Linked DNA regions of Elephas maximus indicus. The protein of the gene in region 3 binds, or shares a complex with, the protein of the main gene of each other region. Links are inferred from orthologs where the notes say so. Each region holds a gene or a part of one and is shown on either strand. Other genes may lie near its edges.

The links.
Region 1: the proteins of GNA13 (region 3) and ADGRD1 are in contact, whole or in part, in a cryo-EM structure (PDB 9V0U), measured with the Homo sapiens proteins. The link is inferred for Elephas maximus indicus from reciprocal best matches to the Homo sapiens genes GNA13 and ADGRD1. Residues at the interface, in NP_006563.2 of Homo sapiens: Val49, Val216, Phe218, Phe359, Val362, Lys363, Asp364, Ile366, Leu367, His368, Asn370, Leu371, Gln373, Leu374, Met375; in NP_942122.2 of Homo sapiens: Asn599, Arg601, Leu657, Met660, Val661, Ile662, Val664, Phe665, Ser667, Val737, Ile738, Ile741, Ala761, Val764, Asn810.
Region 2: the proteins of GNA13 (region 3) and G-protein coupled receptor 35-like are in contact, whole or in part, in a cryo-EM structure (PDB 8H8J), measured with the Homo sapiens proteins. The link is inferred for Elephas maximus indicus from reciprocal best matches to the Homo sapiens genes GNA13 and GPR35. Residues at the interface, in NP_006563.2 of Homo sapiens: Lys46, Arg47, Leu48, Val49, Lys214, Asn215, Val216, Phe218, Arg331, Gln337, Gln338, Lys340, Pro341, Leu342, Tyr343, Phe359, Arg360, Asp361, Lys363, Asp364, Ile366, Leu367, His368, Asn370, Leu371, Lys372, Gln373, Leu374, Met375, Leu376; in NP_005292.2 of Homo sapiens: Phe45, Gln51, Thr53, Thr55, Met59, Asp113, Arg114, Ala117, Val118, Pro121, Leu122, Arg123, Arg125, Arg128, Ala197, Leu198, Arg201, Pro202, Thr204, Asp205, Gly207, Gln208, Ala211, Ala215, Met218, Val219, Ala280, Lys281, Glu282.
Region 4: the proteins of GNA13 (region 3) and GPR4 are in contact, whole or in part, in a cryo-EM structure (PDB 9JHP), measured with the Homo sapiens proteins. The link is inferred for Elephas maximus indicus from reciprocal best matches to the Homo sapiens genes GNA13 and GPR4. Residues at the interface, in NP_006563.2 of Homo sapiens: Arg47, Pro341, Tyr343, Phe359, Lys363, Asp364, Ile366, Leu367, His368, Asn370, Leu371, Lys372, Gln373, Leu374, Met375, Leu376, Gln377; in NP_005273.1 of Homo sapiens: Gln45, Asn50, Arg115, Ala118, Val119, Ala120, Pro122, Leu123, Ala126, Ile204, Val208, Ser211, Val212, Ser213, Thr214, Glu218, Lys221, Ile222, Leu225, Asn290, Glu291, Gly292, Ala293.

The regions. Positions count from the first base shown.
Region 1 is NC_064840.1:1,404,037-1,411,088, forward strand, and holds the start of ADGRD1 (adhesion G-protein coupled receptor D1), read right to left. Parts: upstream 3,012-7,052; 5' UTR 2,730-3,011; intron 2,474-2,729; 5' UTR 2,326-2,473; intron 1,934-2,325; 5' UTR 1,288-1,933; coding exon 1,231-1,287; intron 1,138-1,230; coding exon 1,101-1,137; intron 1-1,100. UniProt on the Homo sapiens protein: Adhesion G-protein coupled receptor (aGPCR) for androgen hormone 5alpha-dihydrotestosterone (5alpha-DHT), also named 17beta-hydroxy-5alpha-androstan-3-one, the most potent hormone among androgens. Also activated by methenolone drug.
Region 2 is NC_064824.1:142,573,851-142,581,734, reverse strand, and holds the start of G-protein coupled receptor 35-like, read right to left. Parts: upstream 3,005-7,884; 5' UTR 2,946-3,004; intron 1-2,945. Other genes in the region: CAPN10 (calpain-10), read right to left, coding at 6,915-7,205. UniProt on the Homo sapiens protein: G-protein coupled receptor that binds to several ligands including the tryptophan metabolite kynurenic acid (KYNA), lysophosphatidic acid (LPA) or 5-hydroxyindoleacetic acid (5-HIAA) with high affinity, leading to rapid and transient activation of numerous intracellular signaling pathways.
Region 3 is NC_064837.1:58,617,129-58,624,784, reverse strand, and holds the start of GNA13 (guanine nucleotide-binding protein subunit alpha-13), read right to left. Parts: upstream 3,004-7,656; 5' UTR 2,777-3,003; coding exon 2,494-2,776; intron 132-2,493; coding exon 1-131. UniProt on the Homo sapiens protein: Guanine nucleotide-binding proteins (G proteins) are involved as modulators or transducers in various transmembrane signaling systems.
Region 4 is NC_064829.1:104,041,335-104,048,847, reverse strand, and holds the start of GPR4 (G-protein coupled receptor 4), read right to left. Parts: upstream 3,011-7,513; 5' UTR 2,923-3,010; intron 1-2,922. UniProt on the Homo sapiens protein: Proton-sensing G-protein coupled receptor activated by extracellular pH, which is required to monitor pH changes and generate adaptive reactions. Activated by an optimal pH of 6.8-7.2.

The DNA.
Region 1 (7,052 bases), on a different chromosome or scaffold from region 3:
GCCAGCATGGGCCCCAAGGGGTAGGATTAGTGGTACACCCCCATGGGGCAAGGCCTCACTTTCATGCAAGTCCCAGGGTTGCCACCCCCCGCAGCACGCCTTCATCCTTCCTCCCAGCGCTTGGGGTGAGGGAAAGGGAGCATGTGGAAATTGACAGCATTCATACCTTTCTCAACAAGAGATTTAAGTTGCTCCTTGAAAATGTGGATACAGTGGGTAAACCAAGGCAGCAATCGTGAGAGAAAGTCCCCTAAAGCTGGAAGCTAAAGCTTCGGGTCCGACTACACCCTTCTTTCCTCACAGGGCCCTCATCTGCCATCCTATGGACATCCCCTCCTCAGGCCTGCTCTGTGGCCAGCACTGGTCCAGCACGCTGGTCAGAGCCCCCGACCCTGGCTGGCCATTAGAGGTGGGCCCCCTTTGGGTGGGCTGGGGGCACGAGCCTTGACAGGGGCCCCGATCCCTGCAGGCTGAGTCACGGCTGAACGGCAGGCCTGTCCGCGCCCAGTTCCCCACCACACACGTTCCCCCCGGGAAGCAGCTGGAGTTCACAGAGGCCTCCAGTGGGAGAAGCCACACCTGCAGGCAGAGCACCAGAGCGATCAAGGAGGACGCAAGCCCCCAGGCGGCTCGGTGGACACGCGGAGGATGCAGGCTGAGAGACAGAACACGTTCCACCCCGGGGAAACTACACTTCCTAATCACAAGGCTTCGATGACCCAGGGCAGGAAGCTGCTGGGGCCCCACGGACTGTGTCCCCCACAGCTCGGAGCAACCAGTTGCCGTCAAGTCAACCCCGACTCCTGGGGACCCCATCTGTGTCAGAGTAGGGCTGTGCCCCACGGGGTTTGCAATGGCCGTGACCCTTTAGAAGCAGATCTCCAGGGCTGTCTTCCAAGGCACCTCTGGGTGGACTTGAACCTCCAACCTTTCAGTTAGCAGCTGAGTATGTGAACCATTTGCAGCTCCCAGGGATTCCCAGCCCTCCTCAGAGGAGCCCGAAGAAGGTGCCGCATACTTGGGGTGAATGAGGGGCCGTTCCCGGACCTCCACGAAGACAGGAAGGGCGTGTATGAGCAGGGCAAGAGGGGAACTCTTACCTGGATGGTCTCGGGACCTGGCGTCGACTCCATGTACCTGCACACAGAACACCACATCGTCAGACACAGCTGGGGGACCTCCTGGCAGAAATCCAGCCCCATTTCAACAATGGCCACGTCAGGGACTTACCTGAGAAGTGGAATAAAACAGCAGCAACCAGGTGTAGAGTGGCCGTGGCCGCCACATGGTACCCAGAGGTTAGGATGGCCACGTGAGATTCCTGAGGTCTGGCTGTGATGACATGTCTTCACTAACACTCACGTCCTCGGCAAGGGGACATTTCCACAGGTTCCAAGACAGAGAAATAGAGAGAGACAGACAGAAAGTCCGTTTCTTTAAAGTTTGTGAGGACAGCTGTCTTGGCAAGCTGGTGGTGTTCCCCTCCTGGTCTCCAGGCTGAGACTGTGGGGTGGTCAGTGACACATCACAGAGACCAGAGCAGCAGGGATGCCGGTGGAGAAGCCTAGCTCCGAGTGCTGTCCTAGAAACGCATCCAAACAGTGACTGCAACTTGTGCCAGAGGGAGAAGGCGCTCAGACGGAGAGAGGGACGTCCAGAGCCTTCCTTCACTTCCAGAGTCCGCGTTTGTCCCGTGCAGGGCTGGAGCGGGCTCTGGCTTTCTCAGTGTGGGGACGAGCAGGCTGGGAAGCCCTTCTGCCCTGGCGCCCCGCCTGCTGGGGCTGGTCCACTCCCACCAACGCCTGGGTCTGGGTCCCGCCTGCACCGCCGCCCAGCTCTCTGGGTGGGAGAGGCCGGTGATGTAAGGCTGTCTTCAAATTTTGCTCTCTTCTCTTCTCTCCTTATCCCCGTTGCGGGGCAGTCTTCCCAGGCCCTAACACGAAGCGAGAACAACTGGTTCACAAGCAGACCAGAGAACGTTGCGTTTTTAACAGACGCCTGCGTAGCCCACACCCTCCCAGTCAGCACAAATATTAATAAATGCAGCATGTAAAATGCCCCATCAACTCTGTTAAGGTCTGATTCCTGTTTGCCAAGAGCAGGAATAGGTGATATCTGGACGGAGAAAGTTAAGTGACCACACCCACTCAGCGGACACATCAGCTGGCCACATTTTTCTCTTTAACCCTTTCAGCGTTAAATGAATGCTATATTTGAGTGGAGCTTCAAAACTAAGACAGACTAGGAAGAAAGGCCTGGCAATCTACTTCTGAAAATCTGCCAGTGAAAACCTCAGGGATCACAACAGACCATTGTCCAACTCACTTGCTTTGGACAGGTCATCAGGAGGGATCGACCTCTGGAGGAGGGCATCATGTTTGGTGGCATGGAGGGTCAGTGATGGTGAAGGAGACCCTTGGGGAGATGAATCAACACAATCGCTGCAGTCGTGAACTTGAACATGCCGGCAATCCTGAAGGTGACATAGTACATAGGATCACTGTGAGTCAGAGTGGTCGGTCTATCTGTCCCACGTCATCCCACCACACCTCATAACTCCACACTCTCCACAGCACCCAGGACAGCACTCCTCATGTGACAACAAAGAGAACTTAGCCAGCCTGTGCCTCAGTTTACCCGACTGCCAGTCTACTCCAAATACACGTGTACACACACACGCCAAGAAAAAAAAGATTATAATCACGGCTATCATTTGCCATGTGACTTACCTGATAGTAACCTCTCTTTGGAGCCCGGATGGCACAGCGGTTAGGAGCTCAGCTGCTAATCAAAAGGTCAGCAGTTCAAATCCACCAGCTGCTCCTTGGAAACCCATGGGGCAGTTCTATTCTGTCCTATAGAGTTGCTATGAGAAGGAATCGGCTCCGTGGCACCCAACAACAACAACCACCACCACCTGTCTCTAAGGAGCCATGGTGGCGCAGTGGTTAAGCACTCGGCTATTAATCGACAGGTCGACGATTTGAGCCCTCCAGTGGCTCCGTGGGAAAAAGACCTGCTCCCATAAAGTGATCTGCTCCCATAAAGATTACAGCTGAGAAAACCCTGTGGGGCAGTTCTACTCTGTCATGTGGGGTTGCCACGAATCGGAAGTGACTCTACCGCACCCAACCACCACCTCAGGCAGGTTCCTTAGTCTCTCTGTGTCTCAAACTCCTCAGCTGTGAAATGCAAGTCATGGTTCCTCTCCTGCCGGGTGGTAAGGAGAAGTCAGAGGACACATACAAGGCTCTGGGAGCAGCACCTAGAAAATACCCAGAACTCGATAAATGTTAGGTACTTTTCACAAAGAAAAAATATCACTCAGTAACTGTTAGCCGTGATCATGACTATGAAGCAGAAAAGAGCACTGGGTAAATGTTAGGTAGCATTACCAGCGCCATTGACCTGCCTTTAAATGGGAATAAAGAGTGCTGGATCCAACAGACTTCCTAACAAGGATAAGATGACTCCCTGCGTCCACAGAAGGGGAAACTGTGACGTGGAAGTGGGAGGGGATTATTCTGAACTAATGCTGCAAGCCCCCCAACTCCAGATTAGTGGTGACCCCCCTTCGATGGAGCCGGTCTCTGCCTCCTCACAGCAGGGACCTGTGAGCCCCAGGTGCTGCGGGAATTGCAACAGTGACCTTTCTTCTGTCACCTGGGCACGACCCACCTCGGGGGGGGGACCAACTGACGACTTCACCTCTACGTGCCACCACCCCACCCTCGGAGAGAAAACGGAAGACACAGGAGAAGGGACAGCCAGGCATAGACATCTCTCAGTCAGTTTTAGCTCAGGAAGAGCTAGACACATGCCTGAATATCTGCGCTGCGCCTGCCATTTCCAAGCCTGAACGAATCCTGAAATGTTCACCAAGTAATGAGCAACTCAATGGCAGTGATAAAAAAGGGTGCAAAGCCAGGTGACAGAAGCTGCCCTGCTAGTGTCTGTGAGATCCCAGAAACCAGTGGCCCTCGAGTTGGCTCCGACTTACGGAAACCCCACGTGTGTGAGAGTAGAAGTGTGCTCCACGGGGTCTTCAATGGACGATTTTCAGAAGTAGATCTCCAGGCCTTTCTTCCTGGTCTGTCTTAGTCTGGAAGCTCCACTGAAACCTGTTCAGCGTCACGGCAACACGCAAGCCGCCGCTGACAGACAGATGGTGGCTGTGCGTGAGGTCCATTGGGTGGGAATTGAACCCAGGTCTCCCACATAACCAAAACAAACCAAACCTATTGCTGTCAAGTCGATTCCAACTCATAGGGACCTTATAGGACAGCATAGAACTGCCCCATAGGGTTTCCAAGGAGCAGCTGGTGGATTCAAACTACCGAACTTTTGGTTAGCAGCCGAGCTCTTAATCACTGCGCCACCAGGGCTCCAGCGTCTTTTGAACGGAAGGCAGGAATTAGCACCACTGAATCACCACTGCCCCATCCTTAACTTACCAAAATCTGTTGCCGTCAAGTTGGTTCTGACTCATACCGACCCAATGGGACAGAGCAGAACTGCCCCATCGAGTGTCCAAGGAGCAGCTGGTGGACTTGAACTGTCAGACTTTTGGTTAGCAGCCATAGCTCTTAACGACGGTGCCACCAGGGCTCCGTCCTTAACTTAGGGGATGGAAAATCGTTACGCTTTCTTAAAATTATCCAGTTGTGTACTGAAGTGGAGGCTAATCAAATGCTAAAAGTGGGGCCTTCGTTCTGGTTAGGCTCTATTCTCTCCATTTTTACGGGATGACTCAAAGTATGAAACCGCTGAACCCAGGACATAGCTGGCTCATTCACGCAGTCGATGGCGTGTGCACAGTTGGTATGTTACCGCGTGCCCTGCAGCTCACACGTCCCGGGGGACAGGCTGGGACATAATGGAAGTTCTGCAGAGAAGCCCAAATGCTGAGGAGAGTTGGACCAGCTGCAAGGACAGTGAGTTCTTAACGCCTGATTCAAGTCCCTCCCCAACTGCACCTCCCTCGGCCACATACCCTTCAACGAGCCGTCACGTCTGCAAGCAGGAGCAAGCCCTGTGGGCACGCTGGCATATTGCTTCCACATAGGGCGACAACGTAACAGCAATGGTTCTCAGGCAGCCCGCTAACTTGCACAACGTGACAGCGGCCACGTCCTCATGCAGAAGTCCCCTCCCCGAAAGTGTGGGGGCTCAGTGTCCAGCCCCACTCTAAAGACTTAACCCAAAGAAATGAAAAGCCCACGTCCACCCAGAAACCTGCACGCAGACGTTCACGGCAGGTTCATGCACTGTCCCCAAATACTGGGAACAACCCGTTGTCCTTCACCTGGTGAGTGGACGAACCAACTGTGACATAACCTCAGAATGGAATGCCGCTCGGCTGGGAAAGGGACAAGCCACTGATACAGACGGCGCCATAAATCCCATATTCATTATCCCCGGTGAAAGAAGCCAAATTCAAGAGGCCACGCACCATGTGAGTCCACCTATGGACATCCTTGGAAAGACAAAGCTACAGAGACAGAAGACAGATGGGTGTGGTCAGGGGCTGGGGTGATGGAGTTGTTCACCGCAAAGGTGGCGAGGGAGGTTCTGGGGGTCAAGTCTGTTCTTCCCGTGGTGGTCACACGGCTGTGCGCCTTTGTCGAAGCTCAGAACTGGACAAAGAGAGAAGTTTCCTGTAAATGAATTATGCCTTGATAACCCTGCCAGAAAAATCCCATAGGCTAAGAACGGCAGAAGAAGCCCTGGTGGCACAACAGTTAAGCGCTCTACCGTTAACCCAAAGGTTGGCAACTTGAAGCCCCCCGGTGGCTATGCGGGAGAAAGACCCGGCAATGTGCTCCATAAAGATGACAGCACTGGGAACCCTATGGGGCAGCTCTACAGTTCTACGTGGGGTCACTGAGTTGGAATCAACTCCACGGCACACACACCACGGCACACAACAAAAATAAGAAGTATGGCAGAGCCAAAGGTTAGAAGGAGCTGGGTCCTTGGTGGAATCTCGCAGAGGCCATACCTGTCCCTCCACGTGGCGAGGCCAGCACAAGCTGGTTTGGGTTACGTGTACTTGAAAATAGTCTCCACCTGGCACAGTATGACACGCTGATGTGGACTCACCGTGACTGCTCATCAGAGATGGCCTTTCAGTCTAGAGCGACTTTTCTACTTTGCCTCTGGATTCATCCACTTCAGTGCTCATGGGCAGCTGCCGGCAGCCACCCTCCTCTTCATCCACCTGCGGCTGAGGAGCACGCAGCCCTGGATACTAACAGACGGGCTCTTCAGAGACAGCAAGGGCTAAATCATCGTCTGTCTTCTCCACCAGCTTCATCCCGTGAGCATTAAACAGCTTGTCTGCAAACATCCCTGTGCCCCCTTGGATGGGAAATCCACTGCGGGGAAAAAGACACCAGTGATTCTGCACCTTTTAGAAAATCATGCCGAACCACTGCAGAAAACAAGCCGTTCGTCAATACTCGCTCACCGTCTCGGTGAGTAACTGTGAGACCCCACAAAAACATCCAAGATAGAGTTGCCTTTCCAGGGGGTCATTCCAGGGAAAGCCTACACCAACAAGTATTCTAATTCTGAATCTCCTGCAGGTTCTACCAATGGAATTCAACAGAAATTCTTAGAAGAGAAATTTGAATTTCACCACAATTATCTCATTGGTTATTGGTCTGTAACTTAAACCATAACGGAAAACAAATTTATCACAATACGCTTCCCTAAAAACTACTCCTCCAAACTGTATCAAGCAGGGTGCTTTCTGTCGCGGAGTCCCTGGGTGGCACAAACGGCCAAGTGCTTAGCTCCTAACTGAAAGGTTGGCACTTTGAACCAGAAGTGTCTTGGAAGAAAGGCCTGGCAATCTGCTTCTGAAAAATCAGCCAATGAAAACCCTATGGAGCACAGTTCTCTCTGAAACACTGTTGCAAGTAACAGAAAACACAACTCAAAAGGACCTGAAATGCAAGGGGTAGGGGAGCATGTATTCACTCAAAAAGTGGCAAGCTGGGGGACAGATACCAAACCCATCGCCTCGAGTCAGTTCCGACTTACAGCAA
Region 2 (7,884 bases), on a different chromosome or scaffold from region 3:
CTTCGTCCAGAGCTGACAGAGAAAGAAAGCCTTCCCCTGGAGCTGACGCCCTGAATTTGGACTTCTAGCCTACTAGAGTGTGAGAAAATAAATTTCTCTTTGTTAAAACCATCCGCTTGTGGTATTTCTGTTATAGCAGCACTAGATGACTAAGACACCAACCATATCAATAATTACATTAAAGGTAAGTGGTTTAAGCACCCCAATTAAAAGGCAAAGATTTTCAAGTTGCATTATAAATGCAAGAAGCAACAATATGCTGTCTAAATGTACACACTTTAGCTATAAAGATAAGACAAAAGTAAAAGAACGAAAACAGAAATTGAAACCACTAATCAGAAGAAAGCTGAATATGTATATTATTATTAAAGTAAACTTCAGGATAAGAAATATTTTAAGAGATAAATAGAAACATTTCATAATGATTAAAGAATCACGACATCAAAAATAGATAGCAGCTCTAAACGTGTTTGCAACTAGTTACAGAGATTCAAAATAAATGAAGCAAAACTGATAGAACTGGAAGGATAAATAGACAAAAGCACAATCATAATGGCATATTTCAACATGCCTCTCTCAGTAACAGAACAAATAAACCAAACATTATCAATGCTACACGGCAGACTTGAACAGCATCAGCCAACTTGTCCAAACTGGTATTTACAGAACGTCCCGCTCAACAACATCGGAATGCGCATTCTTTGCAACTGTACATACGAACGTTCCCCAAAATGGGCCGTGAAATCAGTGCTAACAAATTAAACGGATTTAAATCACACAGAGCTTGTTGTCGAAACACAGCAGAACTAAACTAGAAATCAGTATCGAAAGAGACACGATATCTAAAGAATGCCCATGTTCCAAATATTTGTGAATTAAAGAACAAGAACACACATAAAAATAACTCAGTGGACAAATAAGTAATCAAAGGAAAATTATAAAATATTTAGAAAAGAACAATAATGAGAACAAAACTTATCAATATTTGTGAGATAAAGCTAATGCAGTGCTTAGTGGAAGGTGCGTAGCTTTAAGTACTTACATTAGAAAAGAAGAAGGTCTAAAATCATTGATCTGAGATTCCATCTTAGGAATCTAGGGAAAAAATTAAACCCAAGTAAGTAGAAGAAAGAAAATAAGAAAGAGTGGAAACATAATATAATAGAAAAAACAAACAATAGAAAATCTACAAAATGAAAGTTGGTTCTCTGAAAACATCAATAAAATCGATCAACTCCTAGCTAGACTGATCAAGGGGAAAACACACACAAATTACTAATACAAGGAATAAAAGAGGAGACATCACTTCAGACCCTACAGACATTAGAAGAACAAGGAAACATTATCAATAACCATATGCAAATCCATCTGTCAATGTAGATGAAATGGACAAATTTCTTGAAAGTCACAACAAAAAGAAATAGCAAATTTGAATACCCTTGTGTTTATTAAAGTTGTTGAATTAATAATTTAAAACCTTTTCACCACGAAAACCCTTTTTCCAGATGATGGTACAGGTGAATTCTATCAAACATTAAAGGAAAAAATACTATCAATCTTAAACACTTCCAGAAAACAAAGAAAGAGGAACACTTCTCAACTTATTTTAAGAGGCAAGCTCAACCCCTCATTCCAAAACCGGAAAAAGATGTTACAAGAAAAGAAAACTACCGACCAATATCTGGCATGAACATAGACACAAAATCCTTAGTAAAATATTAGCAAATCAAATTCAGCAATATATAAAACAAACAACAGACTGCATACAAGTAGGACTTGCCCCAGGAACGTAAGGTTTATTTTAACATTCAATCAATGTAATTCATTGAATAGAAAAAAGGAGAATATTTACATAATCCTATTAACAGATGCAGAAAAATCATTTGACAAAACTCAATACCCATTTACGACAAGAAACTATCAGCAAGCTAGGAATAGAAGGAGACTTAATGGTGAAAGACCCAACATGTTCCCCAAATGCTAAGCAACAAGGAAAGGATGTCCACTTTCAAAATGGTATTGGAGCTCCTAGCCACTGAAAATAAGGCAAGAAGAAGAAAACATGCATTCAGATAGGAAATGAAGAAGTAAATCTCTCCATTGTTGACATAATTGTCTATGTGTAGAAAATCCTATGGGATTAAAAAAAAAAAAAAAAAACTACAAACTAATAAGTGAATTTGGCAAGATGATAAGACATAAGGTTAATATGCAAAAAAATTGTATATATTAGCAACAAACAATTAGAAAATGAAACTAAAAATACAATGCCATTTATAACAGCATAAAAAAATAGAGTATTTAGGAATAATTGCAAACATGTATACTCAAAACTACGGATTATTGCTGACAGAAGCTAAAGAAGACGTAAATCGGTGGAAAGGTATACCACGTCCATGGACTGGAAGAGTCAGTTCTCCTACTATCTGCTATATGATCAATCCAACCAAGCATCACTCATCAAGTTCTGCTGGGTTTGCCTCCCAAGCACAGGTCAACACTGACTTCCTCTCTTGGCCTCCACTCCCTCCTGCCTGGGACAGAACACACCATCTCTCCCCTGGGTGTCTGCAACGGCCTTCTTGTTCGTCCCCTACCCCCAATTCATCTTCAATACTTCAGCCAGAGAGATTTCAAAAATACATGTCAGGCCCAACTTCAAATCATGCCGTGGCTCCCGCTCCCCAAGAGGTAAGATGCAAACTCCTTGCACGGCCCTCAAGGTCCCTGTCTGCCTCTCCAGCCTCAGCCCTGGCCACGTGCTCTGACCCCTCCCCCACAGTGCAGACACAGAGCTTCTTCCCGCTCCTGAGGGTGAGGGGTGCCCAGGAACACCCTCCCAGCCCCTCCTCCGCACCTGGTTGATCCTAGCCTGGTCAAGGAACACCCCCACCACTACCACCATATGCAGAGCTGTCCCCTCAGGTCAAAATTCTCCAAAGTACCTGTGTTTGGGTGGTCCTCCCTAACAGACGGTGCGTGCCACAAGCACAGGGGCGCTGGGTGTCTCAGCCGCATCCCCAGCACCTGGCACTGGGACTGCCACCCCACATACGCTTTTGAATGTCTTCAGAATGGTAGGACGGTGGGGCTTGGGGTGGCGGGAAGTGATCTGTGGATCCTGGTTGGTCTTCTCAGTGGGGCTTGGAGGATGAAGGAGTCCACGGCAACTGGAACACAGAAGCACACACATGTGCTGCCACAGGTGCCATCGTCACACCTCCCCAACACACACAATGCCCCAGGAACCCACAGGGGACACAGGGCTAGCCCCTGACAGAGCAGCGTGACCCTACCTGGCTGGCCGCCTCTTACCCACTCTACTCTGTCCAGCCTCCTGCCCCAGGAAGTCCTGCCCAGCCAGGCCCCCTCCCTGGCCAGGCCCCCTCCCTGACACCTGCTTTCAGGGCACACGGGTCGGGATACTTACCCCAGCGTCTGTACCCCAAGGCCTGGAGGAGGAAGGGATGAGGGCAGTGAGAAGAGAACTGGGGACCAGGAAAGTGTTCCCAACCAGGAGGCACACACCCGTCATTCCTGGAGCAGGAAGTGACAGGTCAGAAAACCTAAACAGGCCGGTGTGGGGCAAAGTCTGTTGGGAGAGGCCAGAAGTGGTGTCTACAGCATACACCTAGACCTGCCAGGCTGGATCTGCCTGAGTCTCAGGCCACCTGAGGGCAGGGTGGTGGTCCTCACCCTCACAGCCTGTGCAGGTCCACATGTGGGCTGGGCTTTCCTGCTTTCACCCTGCCAGCAATACCAGGGGTGGGGGAAAGCCAGACTGATTGATCGATTGATGGACTGACTGATGTACAGAGAATGGAGGGCCCGAGGAGGCCCAGGACGAGCCGGCCCGCAGCTCGAGGGCACCCTCTGGAGGCTCCCTGGTGGCCTGGCAGCTGGTGGTTGGGGCGGGCAGTGGAGGAAGCCCATTTCCATGGCCTTCCCCTGGCCTCCCTGCCCACAAGCAGACCTGGAGAGAGAGCTCCTCAGGTCAGTGCAGAGGCCCCACGGCACAGACTGCTCGTGCCCCAGGCCTGCCCACCCCCTCCCCTCCCTGCAGCCCTCCAGGTACGCCCTAGTGCACCCACAAAGGGGTCAGGCCGAGGCTGCGGCCCTCACCAGGCTTTCAGCCTGAGCACCCACACGGTGACCATAGGTATAGCGCAGACGGACACCCCGCGTGGCCGAAGCATGGATAGCAAGTGCCCACTGGAGCCACCCAGGGAAGGGCAGGTGGGGTGGTCAGCACAGCCTCCGCCCTCCCTCCTCCATCTGTCACTGTGACCCCTCTGGGCAGCTGCCTCAGTCCCATGTGGGACTGGGACAGGCCACATCTGCTCTGAGTACCCAGCCCTGGCCAAGGCCTAAGGCCCTCATACTTCTCCCTGGGTGATCCCACCTGCTCCCCCACCCTAATATGCATCCATCTGCAGGGATGGTGGGGGAGCTCTTCAGAATCTGCTGGGGCCAAAGAGCATCAGGGCTGTTTTAGAGCTGGATCTATGACCGCCCGGCTGGCTGGCCAGGAGGGCCATGGCTGGGGCAGGGGAGACAGCTGGCCCATTCCCCAGGTGGGGGTGGGTGCTCTGTGGACCCAATGGATGCAGGGGTCCCCAGGGTGGGGTTTGAGATGCACAGACAAGAGGAACTCCAAAGGGGCATCCAGTGCTCTGTGGTCAGCGAGAACAGTAGGGGAGGCCTGCACTGCTTACAAGGAAGCTCTCTTCTCTTCATTTTACTTCCTCGGCCCATCTGAAGGGGCCCCCAGTCACCCTGTGTGGAGGGGCGGGGCAGTCAGAGATGGGGGGCTGAATCTTGGTGGGGGCACTTGGGCTGCAGGGTGGAGAAAGCAAAGACCACGCCAGAGCCTCAGCCCCAGCATCTGAACCGTGGCCAGTGCTGGCCTGCTGGGCTGAGAGCTGGGACCTGGATGGGGAGGGGGATGCTGGGCAGGGCCCCTGAAGACTTCACTCCCAGACTCCTGGGATGTTTCTGAGCCTGAAAGTGTATGGATGTGGCCCACTCCCCGCTGTAGACAGCACAGGGCCCTCAGGACCCCCCTCCTCTGTCTCTAACCATGACTGCACACTGCTGGGGTGTTTGCCCAGCTCTGCAGCAGGCTGCCCCGCACTGTGTCCTGAAGCTGCTGCCTTCCCAGGTGTTGGCCCCTTGGCAGACATGGCCACAGGCCCCACGCAGGACTCCCCTGCTCCCGGGGGCATGGACTGGCTGAGGGCTCTGGCCTGCTTCCAAGTGCCCTGAGGCCCTGGCTCCAATGGGCAGGCATGGCCACCCTGCCCAAGTCAGTGGAAGCCAGGGGCCAGGGAGAGTGGGCAGGAGTCTGTCCACAGGAAGGGCCTCCTCCAGGTCAGCTGGTGGGACTAATGATGAACTGGGGGGGGACCCTGATAGAGACACCCAGCGCCCTGCCCAGCGGGGGGCACACGTGGGCTGGGGGGGGCAGGCTGGGTCAGGAATCAGGCGGGTGGGGGCAGTGGTCACAGGCCAATGGGGACACCGATGTCAGGAGCCACATGGCAACCAGGGGTCAGCAGATGTACAGGTCTAAGGCCGTGCAGACCCTCCACCCAGCCCACCCCTGAAGAGCCTGGGGAGTAAGGGGCAACATTGAAGTGGGACTCTCAATGACCCCCCACCAGTGACCAGAGGGCACCCTTGGATCTTCTGGCCTCACTGTCCCCTCATGCCCCTGGGGAACCTCAGATGCCTGCTCTCAGAAGATGAGGCAGGGACTCCTGGGAAGGAAGGAAGGCTCCTGACCCACCCCCACCCCCACCCCATTCCACATTCCAGGGAATCTGGCCCGTGAGCCCAAGTCTAGGCAGACTCTGCCTCTCCCCTCCGCAGCTGCCAGCTCCCTACCCAAGGCTGTCCTCCTTTGTCCTGGAGCAGTCGCCCCCTCGTCCTGGCCCTCGCCTCTCACTCCAGGTCAGCTGGAGGAGGCCTCTACCCCGAACGCGCCCTGGACACCAGCTGCTGTGGCCCCCACCCCTCAAGAGCAGGTGCACGTCCGCTTCCGACCCTCTGTACCTCCACTCCCTCCTCCCCAATCCGCCTACCCCAGCTGTGCTCACCTCCCACTGAGACAGCATCCCCACCGGCTGTCCCTCCACAGCTGGCTTACAGACAGCTGACAACCCTGGAGCTGTTCTGAGACAAGAGCAACCTGTGAACTGCCCAGTGTCTACTTGTTTATTTACAAAATTACCTCTTAAAAATGCTTCCCCTGGTGGCGCAATGGTTAAAAGCCCGGTTGCTAACCAAAAGGTCGGCAGTTTGAATCCACCTTGGATTCCCTATGGGACAGTTCTACTCTGTCCTATAGGATCGTTATGAGTCGAAATCGACTCAATGGCAACAGGTTTTGGTTTAAACATTAAGACAAGGTTTGTTTCAAAATGCTCTTGTCTGGCGTAAGGCCTTTCTCCAGTCAACGAGACGGTCAGGGGGTTACAATGAAGCTCCTGTCTGGGCTCGGGGGCTCTGCGCTGAGGCTCTTGCCTCTCCCCCAGGCCCTGCTGAGCCCCAGGGCCTTCTGGGCAGCTGTGGAAGTTCCCTTTCCCCAGGCCCTGGGGCCCGTCACCGCTCTCCAGGGTGGCACATCCTTCACACCGTCAGGCACAGGCCCCGCAGTGCCGAGGCGGGGGCACTGTGCACAGGCGTTCTGGGCCTAGCAGAGGGTGGGTAGCAGCCCAGTCACTCGAGCAGACACACGGTCACCTCATTAGGTCTTCATCACAGCCGTGAAGGAGGCCTGTGGGAGGAGATGGTGAGGCCCCACACGGCCAGGCAGGGTGGCCAGTTTCCCGAACCCAGGCCCATACATACCTCCTGAAGGAACTGGCCCAGGCTCTCCTGACTCTGGAGGGACCGCCTGTGAGAGAGTCCCATCAGCCCGGGCCCAGGGAGCCGCTCTGCCAGAAGGGCGGGCTGGGGACTTTCTGAGATGCAGGTGGCCCCGTCTCCCACACCAGGGCCCACCTGTCTATCCTGGTCGCTATGGTGACAGTGAAGGCCGCCTCTGTGTCAGGCAGGTAGGTAGAGGGCACAACCCTGTAGGTGCCCGCAGGCAGACGGCACAGCTGGCTCACCTCCAGGGCGTGGCGGTGAGGCACACAGCTGGACAGTGGCTCCTGGCACAGCGGGGAGGGCTCGTCCTGGCTCTCACCGCCCCCTGGAACCTGGCACAGGGAGGGGCTCAGAGGTGGGGAGGCACACAACCCAGGGCTGACAGGTGCTCCATGACCCTGGGGGGTATAACGCTCCGCCTTCCCCAGCATCATAGCCCCTCCAGGGCTCTGGGGACTCACCAAACTCTGTGCCCCCACCACCTCTCTAAGCCACCCGCCTGGCAGGGCCCTGTTGGGACAGGCCTAGGGCGCAAGCTCAGTGAGTCCTGTCACTCTGAGACTGCACAGCCTGCCCGCCAAAGGGCGCAGGCTTTTTGCTCTCACAGAGAACCATCTGTCCTTCAGGGTCAGGGGTGGGGTCTGAGTCCCAGCTGATATGGCTCTGTGAGAGCAAAAATGACTATAGACAGTCGTATTGACAGGGGTGCGCACAAGGAGTACCTGAGCCGACCCCAAAAACCCCAATGAAATGGGGACTTCAAGTTGCTGCTGTCAAGTCGATTCTTTTGGCGACCCTACAGGACAGAGTAGAACTGCCCTAAACGGTTTCCAAGGAGCACCTGGTGGATTCGAATTGCTGATCTCTTAGCTAGCAGCCGTACCTCTTAAACACTATGCCACCAGGATGCCCAAACTGGGGCCTTAAAAAAAATGGCTTTTCTCATGTGTATGACCTGCTGCCAGCCTAGGCGACATGCCCACACCACTGAGTCCAGCCTCTGCATGACCC
Region 3 (7,656 bases):
TTCCACCATTCCCTGGGCCGCCATGGGTGACCGTGTGTCAAATGCCATCATCTTCTCTCCATTGAATTGGTTTGTATTATCTCCCCAAGGAATGTGAAGCTTCTCTCGAGCATCTACCAGCACCCTCATGCCTTTGTTTAAAAAAAAAAAAAAGTATGGGGAGGAGTCATTAAACATTCTTATATGTTTTACTCCTTAGAAAACACCAGAATTTCTTTCTTAGACCTCTTAACTACTCCAGGCCCACCTCCTCCAAAAATGAAGACCAACATTAAACATCCACCCTTAACTTCTCAGATTTTAAAAACTCTTGCTCACACTCCTAAAATGAGAACCTTGGAGAGCAAATACTGATAACACACTTGCTCCTTCTGAAGGATTTTAAAATGTACTAATTTATAAAATAACTTCCGGGGTAAAAAGTGGTCACAAGACAGCCAAAACCACTGAAGGAAAAAGAAACTATGCTGCACAGCCTGATGTCCAGGCTCTGAAGGAAAGGAGTCCGTCCAAAAGGCATTCATCTACCAAATGCCAAGAACTAGGCGTTACCATTCTGCATTGCTTGTCCCCTAGGCACCCTGCCTAACCCCAACCCTGAGTCTTCTAGGAACACCTTAAAAACTCAAAAACTTCTCCTAGACCAAGCTTCGAATCAATCTAAGTTACAGGATGGCCTTAGATTTCCCTAAAAGGTAGGAAGACCAACAGCAAAAAGATACAAAACCAGGCATTTCAACTCAGAGGTTAGTTCAAATCCAGTATTTCTATTACTAAACTGTTAGGGTCTTAACAATCGCACACCTTTAGGTCATTTGGATAACTGAAAAAACTATTCCGCTGTCAATTTTTGCAACAAGCCAACACCTACAAAAAAACTAATGTCTAATGACCTCATCTCATTATCAATACTCAAAACGGGTCTCATTTCCGACGCAGTGTACATTAAGAACCAGTTGTTTACCTGGCCCATAATCAGTTAAAATGTTGAATCTATTCATTAACATAATTCCTTAAATTCGGCTGCAGCAAGATACAAAGGTACCTTCAATTAAGGGCTGGCAAGGCAGAGGCAGTGGCCTTGAAAGAGACCTTAATTAGGTTTCCTGCTGACCATTAAGGCAGAGTAAATACAACTGCTTTTCACAGCTTAACTGGAGGGGTACCAGGGCTAAGGGCTCACTGTGGTCTGTAAACCCCAGGCTGAGCTTTTTCTCTGGCTCCTAACCCACACTGCCTCCCTCTCTGGAGCAGTTTTCCTCTACCAAACCCTGGGAGAGAAAGGAAAAAAAAAAAAAAGTGACATGAAAGACTTTCTTAAGCACTTCCTGAACAAAAATCCCACGGAAAAAAACACTGCTTGACAAGATATGAAATCGGTAGCAAACTACCAGATAATTGCTACCCAGACAAAATAGAGAATCCTGATGCATCTGAAGTATTTTAAGCTAAAAATATTGGAAACTAACAGAAAGGAATGCTAATTATCATTCCAATCACAAAATAAAAACCATCGTCTCTAATTCTTTGAAAGTTCAGAAATAAAAATCCTGTGTACTTCTCACTTAAGAACAACGTTTACCATTTTAATTAATTAAAAAAAAAATACTGTCAAACAGAAGCGGAGTCTATGATCCAACCCCATCCCATGCTAACTCACTGACTCAACCTGTGCGGGACTCACATCACCTTTAGACCAAAAATTCTTCATATTATTACACAATTGCACTGAAGCAGTACACCCCCATATCCCCTACCCCTTATTTAGCAAAAAGGAGAGCAGAACATATTGCACACAGACTACAGGCAAACATCCTGCCTGACCGTGACAATGAGGTGAAAAACCACTGATGCTAATTTTTCAGAGTTACTGTATGGGTCTCCTCTTTCCTGGTGCCAGCAAAGTGAAAACGACACCCTCAAGTTTCACATCCTTTCCCAAAAGAGTCCCAAAAGCTGTCACCCTTCGCCCTTGACAAGTCTCTGGCAAAAGTTTCCTCATTGCCGACGGTTCCAGAACTCCCTTGCTCAGGAGGCGGTCAAGGAAACCATGCAACTCGGGTCACCCACCCGGGGCAGCGAGGTTCGGCCGACAGCTCTGGGGCAGGGGAGAAAGGGGCAGGGTCTGGGGTCGGCTCTCGGGTTTTCCAGCCTCGTCTGGAAGGAGGAACACAGGCCAGGTGACCCGCACCCCGAGGCACCCGGCTCTCCTAACTTCCCTCTCGGAGGAGCCAGAGCTGGAAATGGGGTGGGGGTGGGGGCTGGCCGTGACCCCCAAGGGGGCAGCAAGGAGAAAGCTGGGCGCCCACCGAGCATTCCCTGAGCCGACGGAGAGGGCGCCCGGGGACTGGCAGGGCCAGGGCCCGGGGCGCGCCCCCTTGCCGCCCGCCCAGCTCGTGCGCGAGGCACGGAGTGCGCGAGGGCGGTGCCCGGCCTCGGGCCCCCGGCCCCTGCCGAGCCGGCCCTTCCTTCGCCCCCGGCCGAGCCCAGCACCTTTGATCACGTTGCTGTAGATGGTGGGGCGGAACTCCTCGCGCGCGCGCTGGTCGAAGTCCTGCCCGTGGATGATCCGCATCTGCTTCAGGAAGGTGGACTTGCCGCTCTCGCCCGCGCCCAGCAGCAGGATCTTCACCAGCCGCTTCACGTAGGTCTTCTCCCGGGACAGGCATTTGTCGATCTCCTTGGACTTGCGCTGCTGCTCGGCCTCGCCGCTCGTCAGCACGCAGCCGGGGAAGCACACGGACAGCACGGACCGCGACGGCAGGAAGTCCGCCATCTTGCCGCCGCCGCCGCCTCGGCGGGCCCCTCCGGCTCCCTCCACCTCCTCCGCGGGCGGCGGGCGGCTCGGGCTCCGCGGCTCAAGGGCGGGGAGCGCTGCGGCGGCCCGAGCGCGCCCGGGGAGGGAGGGAACGAGCGAACTGACTCGCAGGGCGAGCCGGCCAGGGCGGGCCGGGAGAGCCGGGGAGGGAGGGAAGGAGGCGGGCCCGGGAGGGGCGGTGGCCCCGGCAGCGTGCGCGCGCCTGCCGCCTCCCGGGGGCGCGCGCGCACGGCCTCCGCAGCCCCAGTCTCGTGGCGGGCCCGGGCCGGCGAATCACGCGGTCGCTCGCTGGCTGGTGTGTCCGCGGCCGCCGCCGGGCCCGCGCCAGGAGGCCGGGAGCCGCGGTCACGTGGTCTCGGGCCTGGCGGGACGCAGTGGGCGCGGCGGACGCCTGCGGAGCGCGACTTTCTGTTTCTTTTTAATTAAGGCCTGCTCCGTGGAGCCGGCTGCCGAGTCCCAGACGCTGCCCTTTGGGCTCCCTCTCTCCCGAGAAAGGCCGCCCTTTCTCCCGAGTTTCATGGCCGCCGCCTGCTGTCAGCGTTCCCTCGCCTTATTTCGAAGCCATTGGGTCAAAAGTGATTCAAACAACGGGCGCCAGTCTGAAAGGTTTTTGGTGCATTTTCTTACGGTGGCACCCTTGATGCTAAGTCAAGATCGTCCGTCCTTCCTTCCAGCTCTTGGTGGCATTCTCAGACCCCTGCAAGTATCCCCCTTTGGGGAGAAAGAACTGGAGTTGATATTAATCTGAGATGTGCTAGGAGGGTCTGTTAACAGCTCCCTAACGTGGATCCCTGCCCGAGCTGCGTAATGCTGTGCAGCGCTACAATCGGGATGGTAGCGGCAGAGGGTGAGGTCATGGTGAAAATCCCCCAAACCGGACACTGTGATGCAGGCTCTTCCCTACAAGGAAGCGAAAAGCAAACTCACCGAGGACGAGAGCAGGCACATTTTAGGTTTCCCGCGGGATTACAGAGGATATGACCAGCCAAGGGACTTTTCTGCCCTACCAGCAGATTCAGAGCAGGACACCTGAAAGGGCTGCCCGGAAGACAAGCCTGACAAGTGACAACGGGGTTGGCAGGGAGACTCGGGTAGCAAGGACCCAACCGACGTTTTCATTCTTAGTGTTCAGTTTCAAGTGGAAAAAGCCGGTTTAATCTGCCTGTTTGGGGGCAGTGCAACCTAATGCTCCTTGGTGTGGGCTCCTGTAGTGTGGAAACTTCCTGTGTGTCAGGGAATTGGGGCAAGGGGTCAGGACTTGGAGAAGCTCCTAAGCAGTCAAATTTAAAAATCACTGCTAATCAGTGACTGTTACGGGTTGGATTAATGACTGAACAGCCTCATGACTCAGAAAGTTTGCAGTGAACAATGCCTGTAGTAGGGTTGTCTCCTTTGCCCAGCCAAGCCCAGGGGTGGACAATCTACAATATACAAAGTAGGATGGGCTCACTCCTGTATCTGTGGGTTGATAGGGTCGGAATACTGGGTAGTGCTGTCAGGCGACATGAATGGTAAAACTGTACCCTGAGTGAAGGATCACTTTCTAGTCTCAGCAAGTCCATGAAAGATTAATTTCTGCCCAGTGCAGGGTATAGCATCTGTCCCAAGCATGGATCGTATGGGGACTCCAGGTGCTAATCTGAGCTCTGCTGCAAAGACAGGAGGAGGGAAGTCTATGTTAGGTAGCTGGCATCTTTTTTTTTTCCTTCCAAAAGTATGTGCTATATAATGGAGAACCAAGGATGCCTAGAAGGCAGGAGGGTATTCCTGCCCAGCCAGTTCATGTTCCAACATGCAGAGCAGCAGAGAAAGCTGTTCAAAGCCCTACCTGTAGCCTTGCCTTGGAACAAGCCTGGCTCTAATGGAGCCGGGTTGCACTAAGCAGTGGTTCTGGAAAAAAGACCTTTTTGAGCCCAGCCTGAGGCTCAGCTGCAGCTGTCCAACAGCCTCTAACTGTCCAGTGATCAAGACTCCTTGTAATTGTGAAAATAAAAATGAACTAGGGGTTTATTGGTACCTTAAAAAGTTAAACACAAGATTACCATATGATCTAGCAATTCTACCTATAGGTATACCCCAAAGGATTGAAAGCAGGCATTCAAACAAAAACTTGTACATGAATGTATGTAGCAGCACTATTACCAAAAGCTGGAAACGATCAAATTCTCATGAACTAATAAACAAAATGTGGTAATATACATGTTGTTGTTGTTGTTAGTTGCCATCAATTCAACTCTGACTCCTAGTGACCCCATGTATGCAGAGGAGAACACCACTCTATTGAGTTTTCAAGGTTGTGACCTTTCAAAAAGCAGATTGTCAAGTCTGTCTTCCAAGGCACCTCTGGGTGGGTTCCAGCCGCCAACCTTTGGTCTCGCAAGTAGTTAATTGTTTAACTGTTTCGTCACCCAGGGACGTATGATGGAATATTATTTGGCTATAAAAAGGGATGAAGTACTGACACATGCTACAATATAGATGAACCTTGAAGACTTATGCTAAGTGAAAGAAACCAGGCACAACGGGCCACATATTGAATGATCCCACTTACATGAAACATCCAGAATAGGAAAATCCACAGAGAATGAAGGGGGGCTAGTGGTTGCCAGGGGGTGGAGAGGGGAGGAGGGGAGATGGGAAGTGACTGCTTAAGAGGTACACCCATTGCCTTCCTTGGAAACCCTGGTGGTGTGGTGGTTAAGAGCTATGGCTGCCTGCTGGTGTGAATGTAAAATGGTACAACCACTTTGGAAATCGATTTGGTGCTTCCTTAAAAATCTAGAAATAGAACTACTATATGATCCAACAATCTCACTCCTTGGAATATATCCTAGAGAAATAAGAGCTTTTACACAAACGGATATATGCACACCCATGTTCATTGCAGCACTATTTACAATAGCAAAAAATGGAAGCAACCAAGGTGCCCATCAATGGATGACTGGATAAATAAATTATGGTATATTCACACAATGGAATACTACGCATCGATAAAGAACAGTGATGAATTTGTGAAACATTTCATAACACGAAGGAACCTGGAAGGCATTATGCTGAGTGAAATTAGTTGCAAAAGGACAAATACTGTATAAGACCACTATTATAAGAACTCAAGAAATAGTTTAAACAGAGAAGAAAATATTCTTCGATGGTTACGAGAAGGGGGAGGGAGGGAGGGCGGGAGGGGGTATTCACTAATTAGATAGTAGATAAGAACTACTTTAGGTGACGGGAAAGGCAACACACAATACAAGGGAGGTCAGCACAACTGGACTAAACCAAAAGCAAAGAAGTTTCCGGAATAAACTGAATGCTTTGAAGGCCAGCGTAGCAGGGGTGGGGGTTTGGGGACCATGGTTTCAGGGGACATCTAAGTCAATTGGCATAATAAAATCTATTAAGAAAACATTCTGCATCCCACCTTGGAGAGAGGCGTCTGGGGTCTTAAACGCTAACAAGCGGCCATCTAAGATGCATCAATCGGTCTCAACCCACCTGGATCAAAGGAGAACGAAGAACACCAAGAACACAAGGTAATTATGAGCCCAAGAGACAGAAAAGGTCACGTAAACCAGACGCTACATCAGCCTGAGACCAGAAGAGCTAGATGGTGCCTGGCTACAACTGATGACTGCCCTGACAGGGAACACAACAGAGAACCCCTGAGGGAGCATGAGAGCAGTGGGATGCAGACCCCAAATTCTCATAAAAAGACCAGACTTAATGGTCTGACTGAGACTAGAAGGACCCCAGTGGTCATGGCCCCCAGACCTTCTGTTGGCCCAGGGCAGGAATCATTCCCAAAGCCAACTCTTCAGACATGGATTGGACTGTGCAATGGGTTGGAGAGGGATGCTGGTGAGGAGTGAGCTTCTTGGATCAGGTGGACACTTGAGACTATGTTGGCATCTCCTGCCTGAAGGGGAGATGAGAGGGTAGAGGAGGTTAGAAGCTGACGAAAGGACACAAAAAGAGAGAGTAGAGGGAGGGAGCGGGCTGTCTCATTAGGAGGAGAGCAATTGGGAGTATGTAGCAAGGTGTATATAAGTTTTTGTGTGAGAGACTGACTTGATTTGTAAACTTTCACTTAAAGCACAAAAAAAAAAAAAAAAAAAAAAAAAAGAGCTACAGCTGCTAACCAGAAGGTCAGCAGTTTGAATCCACCAGGCGCTCCTTGGAAACCCTATGGGGCAATTCTACTCCGTCCTGTAGGGTCACTATGAGTCAGAATCGACTCAACAGCAGCAGGTTTATAGCCGTCCTTGAGTTGATTCTGACTTAGTGACCCTATAGAACAGAGTAGAACTACCCCGTACACTTTCCAAGGCTGTAGTGTTTATGGAAGCAGACTGCCACATCGTTCTCCCACAGATCAGCTGGTGGGTTCGAATTGACGGCCTCTCAGTTAGCAGCTGAATGTTTAACCACTGCACCACCAGGGGTCCTTACTTAATAGGTACAGGTTTTCCTTTTGAGGTGTGAAAGTGTTCTGGATCTAGATAGAGATGATGGTTGCACGACATTATAAATATACTAAATACCACTGAATTGTACACTTTAAAAATGGTTAAAATGGTGAATTTTATGTTATGTGACTTTTGCCACGTAGAGAAAAATGAGTTAGGGAGTACATTTTCCATTAAAAAAAAAATCACTAACATCATTTAACATTGAAATGCCCACTGTGTGCATTACTCAATGAATGAAAGTGCCATTATGTTTATTTTTAAAACAAGAGTAACAATTTAAATTATTTGCCAGAGAAACGAATCTACTCTAGCCATCACTGTCAGTTTACATTGCAGTGATACTAGTAACATTTTAATTTTCAGATAGAT
Region 4 (7,513 bases), on a different chromosome or scaffold from region 3:
GAAAAGTCCCTGAAGCCACCAGGCCGATTCTGCCCCCCTTCCCCCCTCTCTGCAGGCTCCCGCTTCTCCCCTCCCCAGCAGCCCCAGGGGACCGGCCAGCTCCGGTCTGGGTCTGCTCATTAGGGACGAAATGTGATCACCAAGCCTGCCTCATTCCCCACCTGGTGCTCTGGCGGCCAGCTGGCAGAAACCAGGGGGCAGTAGGGCTGCCCCCAACTGCCCTGCTGGGCCTCAGTTTCCCCATTTCTACAGAGGGAGTCTCTGTTCTTTCTACAAGGCCGCACCACCCAGAAGGAAAGCTAGCTAGGGTCCTCCTTCTCCACGACCCCTCCGATGTTCTAGATTCTACTGTCCTAAAATCCTCAGGTTCTAATGTTGGTTCAGTTCGTGGTTTGACATCCTATTATTATAACGTTCTAGCGCTCTACCTTTCTTCCATTCTATTATTATTATCCTATGCGCTTACCCTTTTAAGTTTCCAATATTCTAGGAGTCTCACATTCCAGGATTTGAAAGTTCTATTGTTAGAACGCTCTATAATTTTTTTTTAACATTCTATGACTTTCATAATCTATTATTAAACCCTCAGTGATTATTAACTTTGCCCAGCAAACACCGGTACGTATTTCTCTTTTCTTTTTGACACAAATGGGAACACACTCTACGCATGGTGAACCTCACTTCTTTTTTCCCCCTTATCCTCTTCTGTTTTTTCACATTCCAGCAGCCTGAACTTCTAAGATGGCGCAGAGTTTTAAGATCCTAAGGATTCACAGAAGAAGCCTAGGTGGTGCAATGGCTTAGAGCTAGGCTGCTAACGGGAAGGTTGGAGGTTCAAACCCACCAGCTGCTCCACGGGAGAAAAGACCTGGTGATGTGCTCCTTTAAAGATTACAGCCTTGGAAACCCTATGGGACAGTTCTACTCTGTTCTATAGGGTCCCTATGAGTAGACACACAACAAGAACAACAAGGATTCACAGAGGGGGGCCCAGGGTCAGACCCCTCTACCTGGCCCCAAGTTCTCAATGCTTGGGAAGGGGCCACATTTGAAGCCCAGGCTGTCTCCCTACCCCTTCCGAGCAGGCTGGCCTCACCCCTCCCAGCTCACACCAGCTGAGTTATTATTTGTCTAGACACAAACCAAATTATAGGCCCTGTCCCGAGGGAGCAGTGGGCTTTGTGGGGAAGGTCAGGAGACAGAGGCCAGAGTTAACCCCTGGCCCCCGCCACCTCCCCTCCTCTCTTCCCTCCTTCCCTGGAACTCCCCGCCTTCTACCCAAACCAACTCTTGCCCCCTCTACCCTCCCCGCCCCACCATGTTTTGAGAACTATTTTCTCTTCTCTGCTTCTGAAACTCTCCCTTCTGGATCCCAGCCATTTCTACTCATTCTGGCATACTTCCTCACTGTGAAGACCTCCTTCGCCAAATTAATCCAACTCTGTGGAGGCAAAAGAAGCCAAATCACTGGATTTTGGGCTTCTGTGAATTGGAGTCCCAAGCCCCAGCCTGGCACAGACTCACAGCTGCGACCTTTGTTCTCCAAGCCTCAGTTTCCCCACCTGGAAAATGGAGGGTGTGGCCAAGACAGCTCCACAAGTCTTTTCTAAGCTGTTAACAAACACTGAAAACTGCCAAAATTCCAACCCTCAAAGCTTTTTGGATTGCAGGATTTGATTATCCCTAAGACTTTGATTTGAAGCTTGGTGTATTCCCAGTTCTTTTCTCTGCTCATTCTCACATCCCTCGGTTCTTCCATTCAAAGACATCACATTCAAGAGGTCTTGATTTTATGAGTCCCAGAGTTCAGGAGCTTCCCCACATCAGCCTGTCTCCTACTGGGGTTCCCTTCACAGAAAAGAAAGCCTCCCATCCCCATGCCAAACCTGAAGACAAGTTCACCCAGGGACAGGCTGGGAAGGGAGAAGCCCTTTTGATGGGTTCAGGAGGAGCAGGGCTGGTGGTGGGCCTGGGAGGGGGTGTTGGGGGGCATGACCCCCTCATCTCCATCAGTGTCAACAATGTACACGAGGACCAATGTATACACAATGGGCAAGGCCCCGTCCCCCCAAAACCACTGCTTCACAGAAATTCTAGAGCCGTACCTCAGCCTGGTTTGGGGGTGTGTCCAGTTCAAGAGGAGAGGGGCAAGGCAGGAAGGAGTTAACCAGTGACCCAGACAAATCCTGGAAGGGAGGAAGTGGCTGGTGACAGGGGGAGAGGAAGTCCACCCCCTAGCCCGGAATTCCTGAAATTGGAGGGTGGGGTGAGTGCGACTTGGGGAGCAGTGGGGTGGCTCTGTGAGGGGGGAGCTGGTGTTACAGTGCTGCTCAGAGTTCACCTGCCCCAAGTGGCCACCACCTTGCCCCCTACCTGGCCCATAAGCAGCCCCCCAGCTCGGAGGAAATTTCTGGGATGCAGAGGATTTGGAGGAAGACAAGGCTGAATGGAGGTGGAAGAAGAGAGTTTAAAATAGGAAGAGAGAAAGAGATGGAGAAATATAAAGAGAGAGAGGAAGGGTGAGGGCAGGGAGACACGGAGACAGAGCAGCGACATCCACAGAGGTTGAGAGTTGGAAACTGACAGAGGTAGAGAGGCTAACAGAGAGAGAGAAGAAATAGACAGATCCGGATGGCGAGGCAGAGATAACCCAGGCAGAGACGCGCAGAGATACAGAAGTAGAGACATACCCCGCGTCAGAGAGACCATGGGCAGAGACATCCGGAGACAGAGGCAGAGACACAGTCAGCCGCCAGGGACCCGAGGCACAGAGAGAGACTGGGAGGCCAGACCAGCGAGGATCGGGGACGCTGACGGCGCGGGAGACTGAGGCAGCTTCCGAGGGACGGCAGGAGGGGCTGCCGCAGACGGCCAGATGGCGGGGGCTGCGGCCGGACGGCCGACGGGCAGCCAAGTGCCTACCTGCGCGCGGCAGCTGGACGGGGCGGGCGGAGCGCCTCTCCCTGCTGCGAAGAGCTCTGGACCGGCGGCGCTGGGACCCGGCGGGCGCCCCCGCGGGGCAGGATGAGGGCGACTCCTCCAGGCCCTAGGGCTTTAGCCTCCAGCCCAGGCCCCGCCCCACCTGGACCCGCCCCCATTAACCCCTTCTTTGCCGCTCGCCCTCTGCCCCTTTCACTAAACGCTTCTTGTACTGGAAAATCCTCAACCCTTCAAAGTCCCTAGCCGGAACCCTCCCACCTCATTAACCGTTTTGCTCATCCTCACTCCAACCCCACACCTCCAACTTTATTAAGCCTTTGCTATGAGGGAAGCGGAGTCCTGGTGGCGCAGTGGTTAAGCTGTTAGCCATAAGATCAGCGGTTCGATTTCACGAGCCCTTCTTGGAAACCCTATGGGGCAGTTCTACTCTGTCTTATAGGGTCTCTATGAATTGGTATCCACTCCAGGGCAACGGGTTTGGTGTTTTGTTGTTTTTTTTTTTTTAGTTTTATGAGGGAGGAGTCCCTGGGTGGTACAAACGGTTAACGCGCTCCGCTAACCAAAAGGTTGGAGGTTTCTGTCCATCCGGAGGTGGCTCAGAAGAAAGGCCTGGCGAGCTTCTCCAAAAAAAATAACCATTGAAAACCCTATGGAGCACAGCTCTACTCTGACACAATAGGAGCCGACTGCGTGGCAACTTGTTATGGCGGAGAGGAGCGTCCCCAGTGACTCTCCTTGGGCTGAGCTACTTCCTCCCTTCGAAGGCTCCAGGCCTAAGTCATTCTGGTCGTTGCGTGCCCCCCTCCAGGGAAAAAACAAAGGAGTTTATTAAGCCCACACCCCCCACCATCATGGCCACCACTGCAAGTGGCCCTGAGGCTTCCAAGTCCATGGGCCCTGAAGCCCTGCCCCTTAACAGTGACTTCACCTCTCTGAACCTCAGTTTCCTCTTCTGTCAAATGGGGTCACTCATAGTCATTTCTCTCGGGGGTGTCATTTTACAGCATAAATGCTATCAAGTCTGTGAAACATGCCACCTGCCTCAACACTTCCCATTTCTTCTCCTGGCTTTACTTGTCTCCACAGTGCTTGCTGCCACCTAACATTCCTTACATCACACTTATTTTCTCTAATTATCCGCCTCCTTTTTTTTTTCACTAGAATGTGAGCTCTGCTTTTGCACGTGACTGGTTCACTGCTGTGTCTGTTTCCCAGAAGACTGCTTGGCGCACACACAAAAAAAAGTTGCAGTGGAGCCAACTCCAACTTATAGCAAGCCTATAGGCCAGAGTAGAACTGCCCCACAGGGTTTCCAAGGAGTGGCTGGTGGATTTGAGCTGCCGACCTTTTGGTTAGCAGCCAAGCTCTTAACCATTGCACCACCATGGCTTCACTTGGCACACAGTAGGTGTGAAATACACATAGTTTTCAAGGAGTGAGTAAATGAAAGGTAAGTGCTCCAAAAATAGTCACTTATTTTTCTGATTTATTACTATGGCCTTCATAAATTGATCACAAGAATTTATTATTGATGAAAGTACTTGGGAGAGACCCAGCATATAGCCCTCAAAAAATGACAGCTATTAGGAAGGCTTTGATTAAAGATCCTATAGAAGAATCCTGATCAAAAAGGCATGGGCAATGAGGAACACAATTTCAGGTTTTCATAGAATCCAGACTTTCTGGAGCCACTGAGGCTAGATGACTCCCTCCCTGCAAACTACTGTTCTGAGATAACCTTTAAACCTTAAACTGAAACTATCCCCTGAAGTCTTCTCTAATCAAAACAACAGCATGATTAGTAAAGAATGTCAGCCTTTACTGTGTTCTTTTAAATTATCTCTAAGTGATCAAACTGACAACAGCAACTAGAAAGGCTAGATGAGAAACTTAGCAGGGCAGTGAGTTTATACTAATGGTGGAATAATAAGTTGGAAAAGGACATCAAGAATGACTGCACAACTTGAAGAATGTAATCAAAATCACTCAACTGTACATGTAGAAACTGTTGAATTGGTGTAATGTTTTGCTGTGTATATTTTCTCCCCTCAAAAGAAAAAATTTCTTTTACATGATAGCTACTAGGTTCACAGATTCTTTTCTAGTAATTTTCTTTAAATAAAAGTAAAAATGCCTAGATCTTACGTGAACACTACAATGGGTTGTGACAAACATATACACCCGTATAACTGACATCCAAATCAAGGTATAGAACATTCCATCACCCCCAGAAAATTGTTTTGTGCCCCTTTCCAGGCAGTATTTACACTTCACAGGGGCAACTCTCTTCTTTCTTTTTTAATTGTAGTAAATATATATGTAACAAAATATCCGCTATTTCAACATTCTTCACGTGTACAATTCGGTGACATTAATTATGTTTATCATGTTACTCAGCATGACAATCACCCCTTTTTAATGTTTCCATCAACCTCAACAGAAGCTCAGCGGCTCCTAAGCAATGACTCTACCTATTCCCCTCCCTGCTGCCTGCCCCTGGTAACCATTAGTAAATTTTGGTCTTCTTCTTTCTCTTTTTACCAGAGATTAGTTTTTCCTATTCTACAACGTCGTATAAATGAAATCAAACTTTTTTTTTTAAGTACCTATTATTTTAATCATTTGCTGTGTGACCTTGGAGAAGTGACCTCCACTCTGAACCATATTACCTCCTTTCTCTCAAGACTCTTGAGGGAAACAGAGAGAGAAGAGAGTTAGCCAAGTGGCCTGAAACACAGGCAGAAATAAAGGCCTTTTCCTTCAACCCTTCTTCAAGGTGGGCAGTCAGGGACAGCTCCAACGGGAGGTCTCATCATGAGGACCTTAAATGCATTGCCTTTGAGTCAATTCCAACTCATGACCACCCATGTGTCACAGAGTAGAACTGTGCTCCATTGGGTTTTCTTGGCTGTACTTTTTACGAAAGCCTTTCTTCCACAGAGCCACTGGGTAGGTTTGAACCACCAACCTTTAGGTTAGCAGCCAATCACAAACTGTTTGCGCCACCAAGGCTCCAGCCATGAGGACTTTAACCACCCCCCGCCCCCTCAAATAACCCCGTATAAGTCCTAACAGCTTCAAGACAAGCCCCCTACACGTTCCTGTTGTCAGCCTATTGGAGTGGCATCACTAGGGGAGTCCAGGGGTGTGGAAGCAACTGGGTAACGCTCGCAGAGAGGGTGACACCAAAATGACTGTCCATAAATTTCTGTGCAGTGTCTCAGGAGAAATTTATTATTTTTTATAAAAATATCCCTGTAGTTAGTTATAACAATAAAAACATTTTTTGTAAGCCCAGCTTACATGTATCAATACACCCACAAGGCTAAAACTCTATGCTAATTTACTTTTTGAACCTTCCAATGTGCTCTGGTCAGGGCTGTCACTGTTACCCAGTTACAGCGAGGCTTCTGATCGTGTGGTGTCTGTTTCTGTTGCTGCCAGTGTTTTTAGCGTCACTGATTTTGTCAAACCTTCTGGTGTTCTACCTACAATAATGTGGTAATTAGCATGGGTGGGGGTGACACCACCCAGGTGATACCACCCTAATGATGATGCTACGGGCCCACTGGCCACCCCAAGCTCCTCCCAAAGAGAAATTTTGAGCACTCACTGGTGGACTCGGGTCCCCTTCTTTCCTGGGCTCACCCCATGTTTATTCTGGTACCAGTCAGGGTCCCAGCAGGAAAAAGTTGGAACCTGGGGCGCTTATGAAGCCACCGTTTGTAGGAGGATGGGCAGGGCAAAAGGAAACACAAAGTATGGATGTGGCGCCAGCGGACCCATTTACAGCCAGAACCAAGCCATTACCATCCCTAGGGCAGAAAGGACAGGCAAGGGAGTGTTGCTACCAGTCTCTGGAGAGGAGCCAGAAGGAGCTGCAGCTCTAGGTAGAGGAAAGAAAGCCAAAGCCAGAAGTGCAGGAATGCAGAAGAGGACTGGGAAATACATACCCCACGTCTCTTCCCCTACCCTCAGATTTCCTGCCCTGCCTCTAATTAGCAGACCCAGTCAGTTGGTGGCACGGTGGGTAAGTGCTACGGCTGTTAACCATAAGGTCCGCAGTTTGAATCTACCAGCCGCTCCTTGGAAATCCTAGGGGGCAGTTCTACTCTGTCCTGTAGGGTCGCTATGAACTGGAATTGACTCGACGGCAATGGGTTTAATCAGATGGCTGAAGGCAAGAAAAGCCGATGGGTGGAGTCTAACAGGTCAGCTTTCCAGGGCCCAGAGTAGGGGGAGAAAGGCTGAGAGTGACCCTGCAGGGTAAGCAGAGAATCGCGCGCACTTTTCCAGTACAAATTTCTAGGCACATTTTTCCATGCACGTCCGAGGCTGGGCACCAGGGGGCGACAGAGCACGGAGGGAGCCAATGAAACGGACTCTTCAGTAGTGCTGGGTCACTTCCCCAGATCTTTGACGTGGATAGGAGGTGTCAAAAGTGGAGGGGAGGAGAAGGGGCTTTGATCCCAGGGGCAGAAAACTGGCTTCTGAAACCTAGGGGTCTGAGAAGGTGATAAGATGGCTGGGCGGTGGTGGTTGAATAGGAGTTCCCCAGGATGAAGGGGTGGCT